Arabidopsis thaliana: one gene and its partners. The protein of the gene in region 2 interacts with the protein of the main gene of each other region in a biochemical or structural test. Each region holds a gene or a part of one and is shown on either strand. Other genes may lie near its edges.

Region 1 (3,753 bases), on a different chromosome or scaffold from region 2:
CTAGTGGTCACATAATGTGCAGAGGTTCTTCCAAAGTTAGTCCCTCCGTGGTACTACAAGATTAAAGAACCATTTTGAGAATTTTGACAATCATTTTTGCATATATGGTTAACTCGAATGGATCATAATTTTTACCATGTAGTAGTTGACATGGGTTCCGTTCTTGGAGAAGAATCGAGCAACTGAATACGCGATATCTTCTACTGATCTTTGAGTTGGCGGATCACCAAACACGCGGAACCTATTGAAGAAATTGGCAAGATATTCAACACTTATATGAATGAACCTAAGGTTTTTACATGTTTAATTCAAGAGTAAGAAAAACAAACTCACTGAGTAGTCCAATTCTCAGTCCATAAAGATGGTTTGTTTTCTCTGTTTGGACCGGGGAAAGTATCACCGCAATGTCTTCCATTACAAGCATTGATCTGTTTCCACAGTGTTTTCAAATATTTTAAAACTTTCTTCCTCATTCGGATAAAACACAATCATGTAAAAATGAACTTTACCATAGGATCAGGAGCGTCGTTCTGCTTGCACATAACCCATGGGATCCCGAGTTTCATTGAGTCCACCAAATTAGATGCCCATTTAATGTAGTTTAACCCGTCTTGTTTATATGCACGTTGAACCGCGCTATATTCGTTTTCTATCTGCAATTCATATTCATTCCAAAACTCATCATTTTATAACATTTTTCAAATCATATATAAATATATAGGTTTCTCTTTTCTTTGTTGTCACCTGTCCTAATATAATGGGGCCTCCTTGTGACGCAAACAATCTTTCCTCCTTCATTTTGTCGAGTATCATCCGTACATACCTTTCTGTATGCTCCTGCAATATTTTTATGGTCATATCTTGTAATATATCTAATTGTAACAAAACACACATTGACATATATATAGTAATTCTATGTATAATACCTTGAATTGTTTATTGTCTGTACGGAAGAAAATTCCAGGAACTTCTCTAAGCCAATAAGGAAGTCCTCTGATCATCACAAAGAGATCATATAAAATGTTAAAATGAAGATCTTGAGAACGCCGAAAAAGAAGAAGAAGCAATGCATTATTACCCATGAGTCCATTCAGCTTGGATGAACGGTCCAAGCCTTAAGGTCACATACATTCCATTCTTTTGAATCAACTTTATGAACTTCACCAAATCAGCTCGTCCCGAAAAGTTGAACTGATGAACGCAACACAAAATACATTATGAATCCTAAAGATTCATGCATGCGTGTTTTATATGTTCTATATATAGATCAGTTTTTGGTTATGAATTACCTTTCCTTGTTGAGGCTCATGTACATTCCAGAAAACGTATGTCTGAATCGTGTTCAAACCGCCTTGCTTGGCTCTCTTGATGATACTTGGCCACATCTAAACCAAACCCAAATGACACAATAATCTCAATATACAAAAAAAAAAAAAAAACGTTTTAGAAAAACAGAGATTATGTGATTCAATAAATACTTCCGGAGTGCTTCTCGGGTAATGAATAGAGCCAGAATAAAGAAGCTCTCTTTTGCCATCGATGATCAAAGAGGTTCCATCATATGTCACCTCCTTATTACTCTTCTTCTTCTTCTTGGCGTCCTTCTTGGCCGCGAAGGAGGAAGAAGACGAGAGGAGAACGACAAGAACAGCTGTTAAAAGCCATCGATCAAGAGAATGTTTTCTCATTGAACTCTCTTCTTTTTCTTTTTTGAATTAATTTTTGGTGTCGTACGTAGAACAAGAAGCTAAGTTCTCTTGGAACCTCGTCCTTGTCGGAGGAATAAAAAACAAGGAGAGCTCAAATAACAAGCTTTCAGAAAAGAGGATGATATAAGAGAATGTTTCGCACTCAGGTTTTCAGGTTTCCGGAGAAATTTACGCGTCTGAAATAGAATCCACCGTTGTAACTTTGAAACTCTCTTCATTTTTCCTTTTCGATTTTTTTTTTTTAATTTGTTTTTGCTATTTTTAAATGTTGGTTTCACCCTATTCTTCGCCTATTATGTTGGACATAACATAACAAATTAGTGAAATTACCATTCGTTTTTTTTGGGTCCCCATAACAGATTCTTTAACGGTCAATAAGTGTTTTTAAAATTAACGGTCAATAACTAGCTAGACAGATTCAAAAGGTAAGCCTTTATACCGTGATTGGTTATAAAAATATTAAATATTGACCTTAAGTTCACGTTTTTTTTAGTGTCTCAACATTTATTTCTTAGAGAAGTTGTATGTACATTTTTAATGTTTACTTCAACATACCGGGACAAAAATATTATCATTTAACATGTAACAGAAGAATATGTATCCAAAGGAGGCTGATCAATAAAAATTAACACTCCAATCATATTGCATTGTAAAACCAGCTATATTTTTTATTGATATTTAAACCATAGTTGTATAATCCTAATGACACATCGGAAAAATCCTCTAAACCAGTCAAAATTTAGCTAAATTTTTTATTGATATTTAAAGATCAATCTAAATATGTATAGATTTAGGCATTTAGTATATGGGCTGCATAGTATTAGATGAAAACGAAGTTTAAAAAAAAAAAAAAAAAAAAGTACATAGAAATTATTATTATAATTTTCATCCCATAAATTTTTGTAGGGTCTTATGTTGGGAAACGCACTATCTAAGAAGAAATGCTATTTTATAAAATTTTAGTAAAAAGAAGAAAAAAAAGGAAGAAGAAGACCAAGAAATTGAGGTGCATGTGAGGATGAGTAGTAAAAATTAGGAAGACTCTAGTCTGGGAGAGACTTTCAGCAGCTATTTCTTTGTCTTCTTTCTCTTTAAAGAACCTCACTCTCTCTCTCTTTAGTCAAAAATCCCCAATTCGTGAACAAATTAGGGTTTTTGAAGTTTGAAGAAGGAGAGAAAGATGAGTGCTTCAAGGTTTATCAAGTGTGTCACTGTCGGCGACGGTGCTGTTGGAAAGACTTGTCTTCTCATCTCCTACACTAGCAACACTTTCCCCACGGTTAGCTTTAAAGTTCTCTTCTTTTACTTTGATTTCGTGAAATTTTAGCTTGGTGAAGTTGGTTTTGTTGTTGAAGCTTATGAGTTGGATTTAGTCACAAGTATTTGTTAGGTTTTCTTAAAGTCTTCTTCTTTCTGCTACCTTAGTGAATGTACTGATGTGATCTTTAGGATTTGAGAGACTCAGAGATTCATGTACCGTAGCAATGTTGTTGATCTGTTTAATGATCTTAGAAAGAGTGTTAGGTAACTTTCTGTAAGGAGATTTTGTAGCTGATGTTTTAGTGGAATTTTCTATGTGACAGGATTATGTGCCAACTGTGTTCGATAATTTCAGTGCCAATGTGATTGTTGATGGCAACACTATCAACTTGGGATTGTGGGATACTGCAGGCAAGTTGTTACCTTGGATTTTTTTGTCTTTTGAATTTCCTCCTCTTCCAGAGAGTCATTTGTGTTTTTGACTTGGTGAAACAGGGCAAGAGGACTACAATAGACTAAGACCTTTGAGCTATCGCGGTGCAGATGTCTTCTTACTTGCATTCTCACTTGTCAGCAAAGCTAGCTATGAAAATGTTTCTAAAAAGGTTTGATCTGTGGTCTTCTCCTGAAACTTCTTTCCTGTTTTATTCAGTTTACATTCAGTGATTCTGATAGAATACATTTGGTATCTTGCTTTTGATTCTTAGTGGGTTCCTGAACTGAGACATTATGCTCCTGGTGTTCCCATCATCCTCGTTGGAACAAAGCTTGGTTGGTTTTTTCT
Region 2 (3,753 bases):
TTAAAACAGTTTTTAGCCAAGGAATTGTAAGTCTAAATTCATAGTCTTCGTAGCCAGAAGGCAACCTTTGATATTATTTTTATTATCTATATCTTTTTTTTTTTTTGGACAAAGCTTGTATCTACATCTAACTGAGAAAAAAGAATGTTTTTCTTTGTCATATTATTGTTCTCAAATTCTGATTATACAACTTTTGACATCAAATCATAATTATGCAATCAAACAAACAAACCAAAAAAGAAATATGCGACTAGCGTAATTTTTGCGCCACAATGTATTTTATATGCATAGCAAATCATTAGAATCCTAGTACAACTGTACAAAGTTCGAGTTGGACACCTAGCAGCGATAATTCAAACCATGTTTCCATCTAATGTAACAGTATAGACTTAGTCGTCTATCAATTTTAGGTGCAATCATTCGTATTAAAAAGAAAACTTAGTTTTTTTTTCATACTGTTTAGAGGAACAAAATACATGTAACAAGAGGTACATTTTTGTTTGAGTTAAATTTTACAATTTTTGAATATATAGTCAACGAAGACCGAAAAAGTTGAGTCAATTCCTAAGAATCAATCTGCCACATGCATCGCCGTGCTTGAAGGGCGGCTCACTGTCTTCTTGCTTATTACTACAGTTAAATCTTTTTTTTTCAACATCTAATGCTATACTTTTAATCTATAATATATATTAGATGTGACTTAAGGAATTTCAATAGTTATACATAATAATAAAAATGAATATTTGTTAGTGTTACAAACTGTGTGTCATAATCATCATTCATCAGGATTTCAAAAATATCTCAAAATTGTTGTAAGTTCATGTAATTCGAAATGAATGTGCACTATAAGAAATAAATTTACAATTTAAAAAATGCTTCAATACTGGTTACAAAAAAAACTTTCAATACTAGTATTATACTACTTACTTAGTCAAAAAAGTTTATGAATATGGTTTTTTCTGTATGTTAATATTTTTAACTGAAAATAGTACCGACATAACAAGTAAAGATATCTTTATTTAAAGTAACAAACATTAATTTCACTTCAAATTCTCACTATTAAGGATTCCTCTCTTTGTAGCCACATTTCACCATCACTACTTTGTTTTCGCATATCTTTAAATTTTGTATACGTAGCAAACTCTTTCGAGAAAACAAGATGAAGCTCGTGGTTGTACAATTCTTCATAATCTCTCTTCTCCTCACATCTTCATTTTCTGTACTTTCAAGTGCTGATTCGTGTAAGTGTTTACTTAATCTAGTTAATAATTGTAGGTCATGCATGTATCATTTTGAAACAAGTTTTCTGAAATTCTAAGATTTTACATATATATGTGATAAATGAATTAGCAGCATGCGGTGGAAAGTGCAATGTGAGATGCTCAAAGGCAGGACAACATGAAGAATGCCTCAAGTACTGCAATATATGTTGCCAGAAGTGTAATTGTGTTCCTTCGGGAACTTTTGGACACAAAGATGAATGTCCTTGCTACCGTGATATGAAAAACTCCAAAGGTGGATCCAAGTGTCCTTGAACGTTCTTTGAAGATCCTCATCACATACATATAACTTCTACGTACTATATGTGTGGAAATATTAATCACATTCTATGTTTGAAATATATAAAATAAAATCAATGCCCCCAATGTTGGAAATCTTCAATGTGATATCTTAATATATATCACGAATAAAAAAGTTTAAATTTCTCAATCTCATTTTTAATCTTTAATCTAATTTCTTAACACATCAACGAATCTTTAATCTTTAATCATGTAGATAATTATCAGAGCACCTAAACATTGCGCCGTTTTGTGATTATACAAAGTAACATCGTGCTGTTTTTGACTTTTGAAAACCACAGATCCAAAAACTGTTTACTTTCCTCTAAGAGAAAGCAAAGCCGAGTGAGTCCAAGCGAGTTTTGAGAGATTCGTTGACTCACTACCGGAGAACGACGCTATGTCAGAGACCGCCGTGTCAATCGATTCGGACCGATCTAAGTCGGAGGAAGAAGACGAAGAAGAGTATTCTCCACCGGTGCAATCATCTCCGTCAGCGAATTTCGAGAAAGATCGACACTTGATGTATTTGGAGATGATGTACGAGTTGCTTCCGTACCATTACCAATCTCAGGAGATCAATCGTCTTACACTCGCTCATTTCATAATCTCGGGTCTTCATTTTCTCGGCGCAAGAGACCGTGTTAGTCTCTTTCTCCTCTCTCTCAAAGAATCGATCTTTGTTTTTCCCCTGAATCTGATTTAGTGAATTTCATCTATAATTTCTGAAGGTTGATAAAGATGTTGTTGCAAAGTGGGTTTTGTCCTTCCAGGCCTTTCCTACTAACAGAGTTTCACTGAAAGATGGTATTTTTCTTGAATTTAGTTAGAAGTATGTTTATGAGCAAATTGTTAATTAGTTAGTGATCAATGAATGAGATGTTCTTGTTCTTCTCTGCAGGAGAATTCTATGGTTTCTTTGGTTCAAGGAGTTCTCAGTTTCCCATTGATGAGAATGGGGTAATTATAAGTCTATATTCCTTATGCTTTATATGTTACAAGATTTATCTTTGTTTTGCATCTGTGTGGGCTTGACAGTTTAGTTTGTTGCGTAGGATTTAAAGCACAACGGTAGTCACTTGGCAAGCACTTACTGTGCTTTGGCTATTCTGAAGGTCATTGGACATGATCTCTCGACCATCGACTCAAAATCATTGCTAATTTCCATGATAAACCTTCAACAGGATGATGGAAGGTATTAGTTCTTAGAGCTTAAAAAAGTAAAATGCATTTTATAATGCCATAAGTTTATTACTTATTTTCTTTGTTCTAAGTCGTTTAGGCTAGCAATATTCTCATTTACATGGTGCAACAAGTTTGGCTTGTCAGCATATAATGATTAAATAAGCAATGGGGTCTGAATTGTGTTTGATACTTTTTTATTTTGCTACAGCTTCATGCCTATCCATATTGGAGGTGAAACGGATCTTCGATTTGTATATTGTGCAGGTAAGGAATAGCTACCTAACAGGATTTACATACCATGTCTTTATACTTTACGTAGAGTATCAATCTAGTTTTTTTTTTTTTTTGTGGTTCAGCTGCAATCTGTTACATGCTGGATAGTTGGAGTGGAATGGATAAGGAGAGTGCTAAGAACTACATATTAAACTGTCAGGTTTACTTCTGATCTTGTAGTTGCTTTTGTCTTTTTTTCTTCCATTGATATTTGTCAATTTCTGTGTTGAGAAGACATTCTTGTGCAACATTCTTTGTGCAGTCATATGATGGTGGTTTTGGATTGATCCCTGGTTCTGAATCTCATGGTGAGTTGAAAACAATTTTTCTACTATCTCACAGTTGATTTTTTCCATGTGCAGTCCAACTAAGTGGCGCATATGTTATTACTGAATTGATCATTGAGGACACTTTAGATAATTTAGTTCCTTCATCTAGGTTTCTACTTCAATGGCAACCCATAAAGAAAAGAAGTTTACTATGTTCTTACGTTATGAGGGAAATGTGTTTAATTGACTCCACTCGTGTATGATGCTTACCTACGTTCTGCAACTTAGTTATGCAGGTGGTGCCACTTACTGTGCTATTGCATCCCTTCGGTTGATGGGATACATTGGAGTTGATCTGCTGTCAAATGATTCATCCAGTTCAATAATAGACCCTTCATTACTTCTCAACTGGTGCCTACAGGTACTGCTTCATAAAATCTGTTAACTTTCACCTCATAAATATTACC
Region 3 (3,753 bases), on a different chromosome or scaffold from region 2:
ACTCACATCTCTGTGTTAATTTCTCTTCTGTTTATATAACAAATTCATACTACAAACTTTGATCAATTTTTTTTTATTTATGGGAGAAGAAGGAGCTCTAATGAGGTCATCAACTTTGATCTTGACCAATGAGGCAATGAAAACAGATGACATACTACTGTATATCCAAAGGTTGTCAGAAAACCCACCTTACCAGTATTTGTTTACTCATCACAAATTTGAGGAATATTTTGGAATGCATAAACTATCTTTTTAGCTGTCGAATAAACTTACCGTAAATCACTTCTACTAATACCCTCTACATTTCTCAATTTTTTTTTTAAACCTCATAACTTGTTTTAATTTTTGAGACATAGAAAGAAAAAAACAAAAGGGGGTTCTACTTTAACAGACTGTAATAATACAGAAGTGGAGGAGAAGAGTAATAAGTAATAATAAAAAGACAACAGATGAGGCATGTGCTCTGTGTTCCATTATCGTTCTATCTATATAATAAACATAGGTATGTATGTATTCTGATCCTCGAAACTAGCGTGTGTGTATCATGGAGGGTGGATGTGGCCAAAAGTTATCTAAAAAGAAAAAAGAGAGACACACTTAACGGTCTTCAAGATTGTACCCACTTCCTCATTAGCTATTACTCTATTAGCCCCCAAATATCACTATGCACATTTCAGCTTCTTTCAACAAGATCTAGAATAAGAAGATGAGAAGCTGTAAGCCTGAAACTCCATTACTCGTATGTCAGATCCGGATCCCATACATTACATATACATATAATACTGTTTACGTAGGTGCAACTAAGCCGTTCTATGCAATTCCAATGCTCATTAATCTGTACGCTTTTTCTCTGCTACAGCCCCATTTTGGATCCCATGTAAAATGATATCCTAGCAAGAAACTAGTATATGTAACACATTACTCTGTCTAGCGAATCAAAGTATTAAGCATCTGCAGCCTTCTCCTCCATTTGGTCCTTCAAACCACCGGTCCCATCCTAAGTTCAAAGGTCCATTGGTTCTGCCAGCACCACAACATCCATCAGTTATTCAGTCCAAACCAACACTAGAGTTTCAAGGTTTAAAAAGCACTCACAGTGGCAACAGAGGATCGGGTCCTTTCTCGATGACAGATAGCAGCCTGCGAACCAAGGGAATATCAATTTGATCACCAATCAACGTACAAGTTTCAGTCAAATCCAGATAATATACCTACAGGAGCTAGCACACAGTTGCTTGCAAGCGTTAAAAAAAAACATAGGTTGAGTATCCCATACTTACTCCTCACACACGGTTGATACAATATCTGTGTTCTCGACCTCCTTCAACTCTTTCTGGATATAGTACATGAAACAGAAAGAGAGAGTAAAGCTATTTTTAGTAAGTGTTAGAGCTCACTAGTAGGAACAATAGGCAAACACATTATCTGTGCAACAGAGAAACTTGGGAGAAGGTTAACTTTTAACATGCCTCGATAGATGATAACCAAGAGAGAATGATACTAATTGGACTATGATCAAAAGTATTCTTGCACATCCCTAAGAATAAGATCAACAGAGAACCATTCCAATAGTGGATCCAAAGAGAACCCAGCAGATTTAGATTTTGGGAATACAATTCATAGAGTCATAAACAAGACTGACTGAAATGGTGCCACTTATTGTCAAGAGAACTACCATGCTCTTCTGATTGGAACAGATCTGCCATACTGGTTTTTGCTTTCACAGGAAACAATCTTAGCGACCTTTACCTAATTGTTGTAACAATTGATCTAAAAAGGATAATTGAGCTATCCACGAGAGACCTACGTCGGAATTTGAAAGAGATACGAGTTAGTTTAGCTACCTCCAAGAAAGCGACTTCCTGTTCAACGCGGGCAAGCTCTGCAAGGATCCTGTGCTTGCCCCCGCCGTGAGAAACAGACTCCTCCTGCTCGTAAACCACAGTTTCCTCTCGCATCCTCTCGCTAGCAGGTCGCAGATCTGACAACGTCAGAGAGAGTCTGGTCTTAGTCCGTACAAGTTTGAATTGTCGTCGAAGTCTCTCTCTCTCTGACTCAAATCGACTTTTCCCTTCCATTTGCAGAAAAATGCCAAAACGCCCAATACTATTATTTGGGCCAATTCTTGCAAATGAGCCCATGGGCTCAACAAAGGGATATGTGTTGTCGCAACAAACAACGTGACCGTACATAAACATGTGGTTGGAGTCAGTACTGACTCTGTTAGAGTTAGAGGGTTTAGTCACACTCTCATTCTCGTTTGTGTTTTTGATTGGCGGAGAATTGGTGATAGATAAGCTTCTTCTTCCCTCTTCTCAACTTGGTGGATCTGTCATCGATGGCCTCTTTGATGCTCAACGGGGCCATTACCTTCCCCAAAGGTTTAGGTTCCCCTGGTTCCAATTTGCATGCCAGATCGATTCCTCGGCCGACCTTACTCTCAGTTACCCGAACCTCCACACCTAGACTCTCGGTGGCTACTAGATGCAGCAGCAGCAGCGTGTCGTCTTCCCGGCCATCGGCGCAACCTAGGTTCATTCAGCACAAGAAGGAGGCTTACTGGTTCTACAGGTTCTTATCCATCGTATACGACCATGTCATCAATCCTGGGCATTGGACCGAGGATATGAGAGACGACGCTCTTGAGCCAGCGGATCTCAGCCATCCGGACATGCGAGTGGTCGATGTCGGCGGCGGAACTGGTTTCACTACTCTGGGCATAGTCAAGACAGTGAAGGCCAAGAATGTGACCATTCTGGACCAGTCGCCACATCAGCTGGCCAAAGCAAAGCAAAAGGAGCCGTTGAAAGAATGCAAGATCGTCGAGGGAGATGCTGAGGATCTTCCTTTTCCAACCGATTATGCTGACAGATACGTTTCTGCTGGAAGGTATCCTTTTCTTCTTCTTCTTCTTCTTCTTCTTCTTCTTCTTATAATCGTCTTCTTTCCGGTGGGTTTGATTGTGTGTCTCATCATCACACAGCATTGAGTACTGGCCGGACCCGCAGAGGGGAATAAGGGAAGCGTACAGGGTTCTCAAGATCGGTGGCAAAGCGTGTCTCATCGGCCCTGTCTACCCAACCTTCTGGCTCTCTCGCTTCTTTTCTGATGTCTGGATGCTCTTCCCCAAGGAGGAAGAGTACATTGAGTGGTTCAAGAATGCCGGTTTCAAGGACGTTCAGCTCAAGAGGATTGGCCCCAAGTGGTACCGTGGTGTTCGCAGGCACGGCCTTATCATGGGATGTTCTGTCACTGGTGTTAAACCTGCCTCCGGTGACTCTCCTCTCCAGGTCTTTTACCTCCCACTTCACCTTTTTTACTTTCTTCTCTCTTTGATACACTAAACTTATCACTCAAATGCTGCAGCTTGGTCCAAAGGAAGAGGACGTAGAGAAGCCTGTCAACAACCCCTTCTCCTTCTTGGGACGCTTCCTCCTGGGAACTCTAGCAGCTGCCTGGTTTGTGTTAATCCCTATCTACATGTGGATCAAGGATCAGATCGTTCCCAAAGACCAACCCATCTGATCCTTCTCTTCTAGGACATGATCATTGTATCATTGTAAACCCCTCTTGTGGTAAAGAAAGATTCGAGTCCTATCTATGAACATGCGGAATATCATTAACCTTCTTTCTTTACATGTATTACTAGATTTTCATGTTGAGATATCTATGCTACTTGTTCGATAAATTTTCTACAAACTTCGATTCCCAAACTCAATTCTGCCAACATATATCAGTCTCAATTTGATCAAT

The links.
Region 1: of the proteins of PGGT-I (region 2) and RAC3, one has a biochemical effect on the other in vitro, tested with the Arabidopsis thaliana proteins (one study listed by BioGRID).
Region 3: of the proteins of PGGT-I (region 2) and GG1, one has a biochemical effect on the other in vitro, tested with the Arabidopsis thaliana proteins (one study listed by BioGRID).

Annotation. Positions count from the first base shown.
Region 1 is NC_003075.7:16,670,287-16,674,039, forward strand, and holds the start of RAC3 (RAC-like 3), read left to right. Parts: upstream 1-1,905; 5' UTR 1,906-1,957; exon of another isoform or gene 1,958-2,134; intron 2,135-2,497; exon of another isoform or gene 2,498-2,545; 5' UTR 2,546-2,568; intron 2,569-2,632; exon of another isoform or gene 2,633-2,679; 5' UTR 2,680-2,889; coding exon 2,890-2,988; intron 2,989-3,292; coding exon 3,293-3,380; intron 3,381-3,464; coding exon 3,465-3,574; intron 3,575-3,676; coding exon 3,677-3,740; coding exon of another isoform or gene 3,741-3,753. Other genes in the region: BGAL11 (beta-galactosidase 11), read right to left, coding at 1-53, 136-241, 334-428, 510-653, 745-837, 927-993, 1,079-1,191, 1,290-1,385 and 1 more. UniProt on the Arabidopsis thaliana protein: Inactive GDP-bound Rho GTPases reside in the cytosol, are found in a complex with Rho GDP-dissociation inhibitors (Rho GDIs), and are released from the GDI protein in order to translocate to membranes upon activation.
Region 2 is NC_003071.7:16,499,707-16,503,459, forward strand, and holds the start of PGGT-I (Prenyltransferase family protein), read left to right. Parts: upstream 1-1,864; 5' UTR 1,865-1,959; coding exon 1,960-2,202; intron 2,203-2,290; coding exon 2,291-2,366; intron 2,367-2,460; coding exon 2,461-2,519; intron 2,520-2,614; coding exon 2,615-2,754; intron 2,755-2,952; coding exon 2,953-3,008; intron 3,009-3,100; coding exon 3,101-3,177; intron 3,178-3,279; coding exon 3,280-3,325; intron 3,326-3,582; coding exon 3,583-3,707; intron 3,708-3,753. Other genes in the region: AT2G39540 (Gibberellin-regulated family protein), read left to right, coding at 1,160-1,241, 1,354-1,535. UniProt on the Arabidopsis thaliana protein: Catalyzes the transfer of a geranyl-geranyl moiety from geranyl-geranyl pyrophosphate to a cysteine at the fourth position from the C-terminus of proteins having the C-terminal sequence Cys-aliphatic-aliphatic-X (CaaX).
Region 3 is NC_003074.8:23,415,588-23,419,340, reverse strand, and holds GG1 (Ggamma-subunit 1), read right to left. Parts: upstream 2,093-3,753; 5' UTR 2,079-2,092; coding exon 1,845-2,078; intron 1,334-1,844; coding exon 1,281-1,333; intron 1,141-1,280; coding exon 1,096-1,140; intron 1,021-1,095; coding exon 936-1,020; 3' UTR 360-935; downstream 1-359. Other genes in the region: APG1 (S-adenosyl-L-methionine-dependent methyltransferases superfamily protein), read left to right, coding at 2,339-2,889, 2,984-3,290, 3,367-3,525. UniProt on the Arabidopsis thaliana protein: Guanine nucleotide-binding proteins (G proteins) are involved as a modulator or transducer in various transmembrane signaling systems.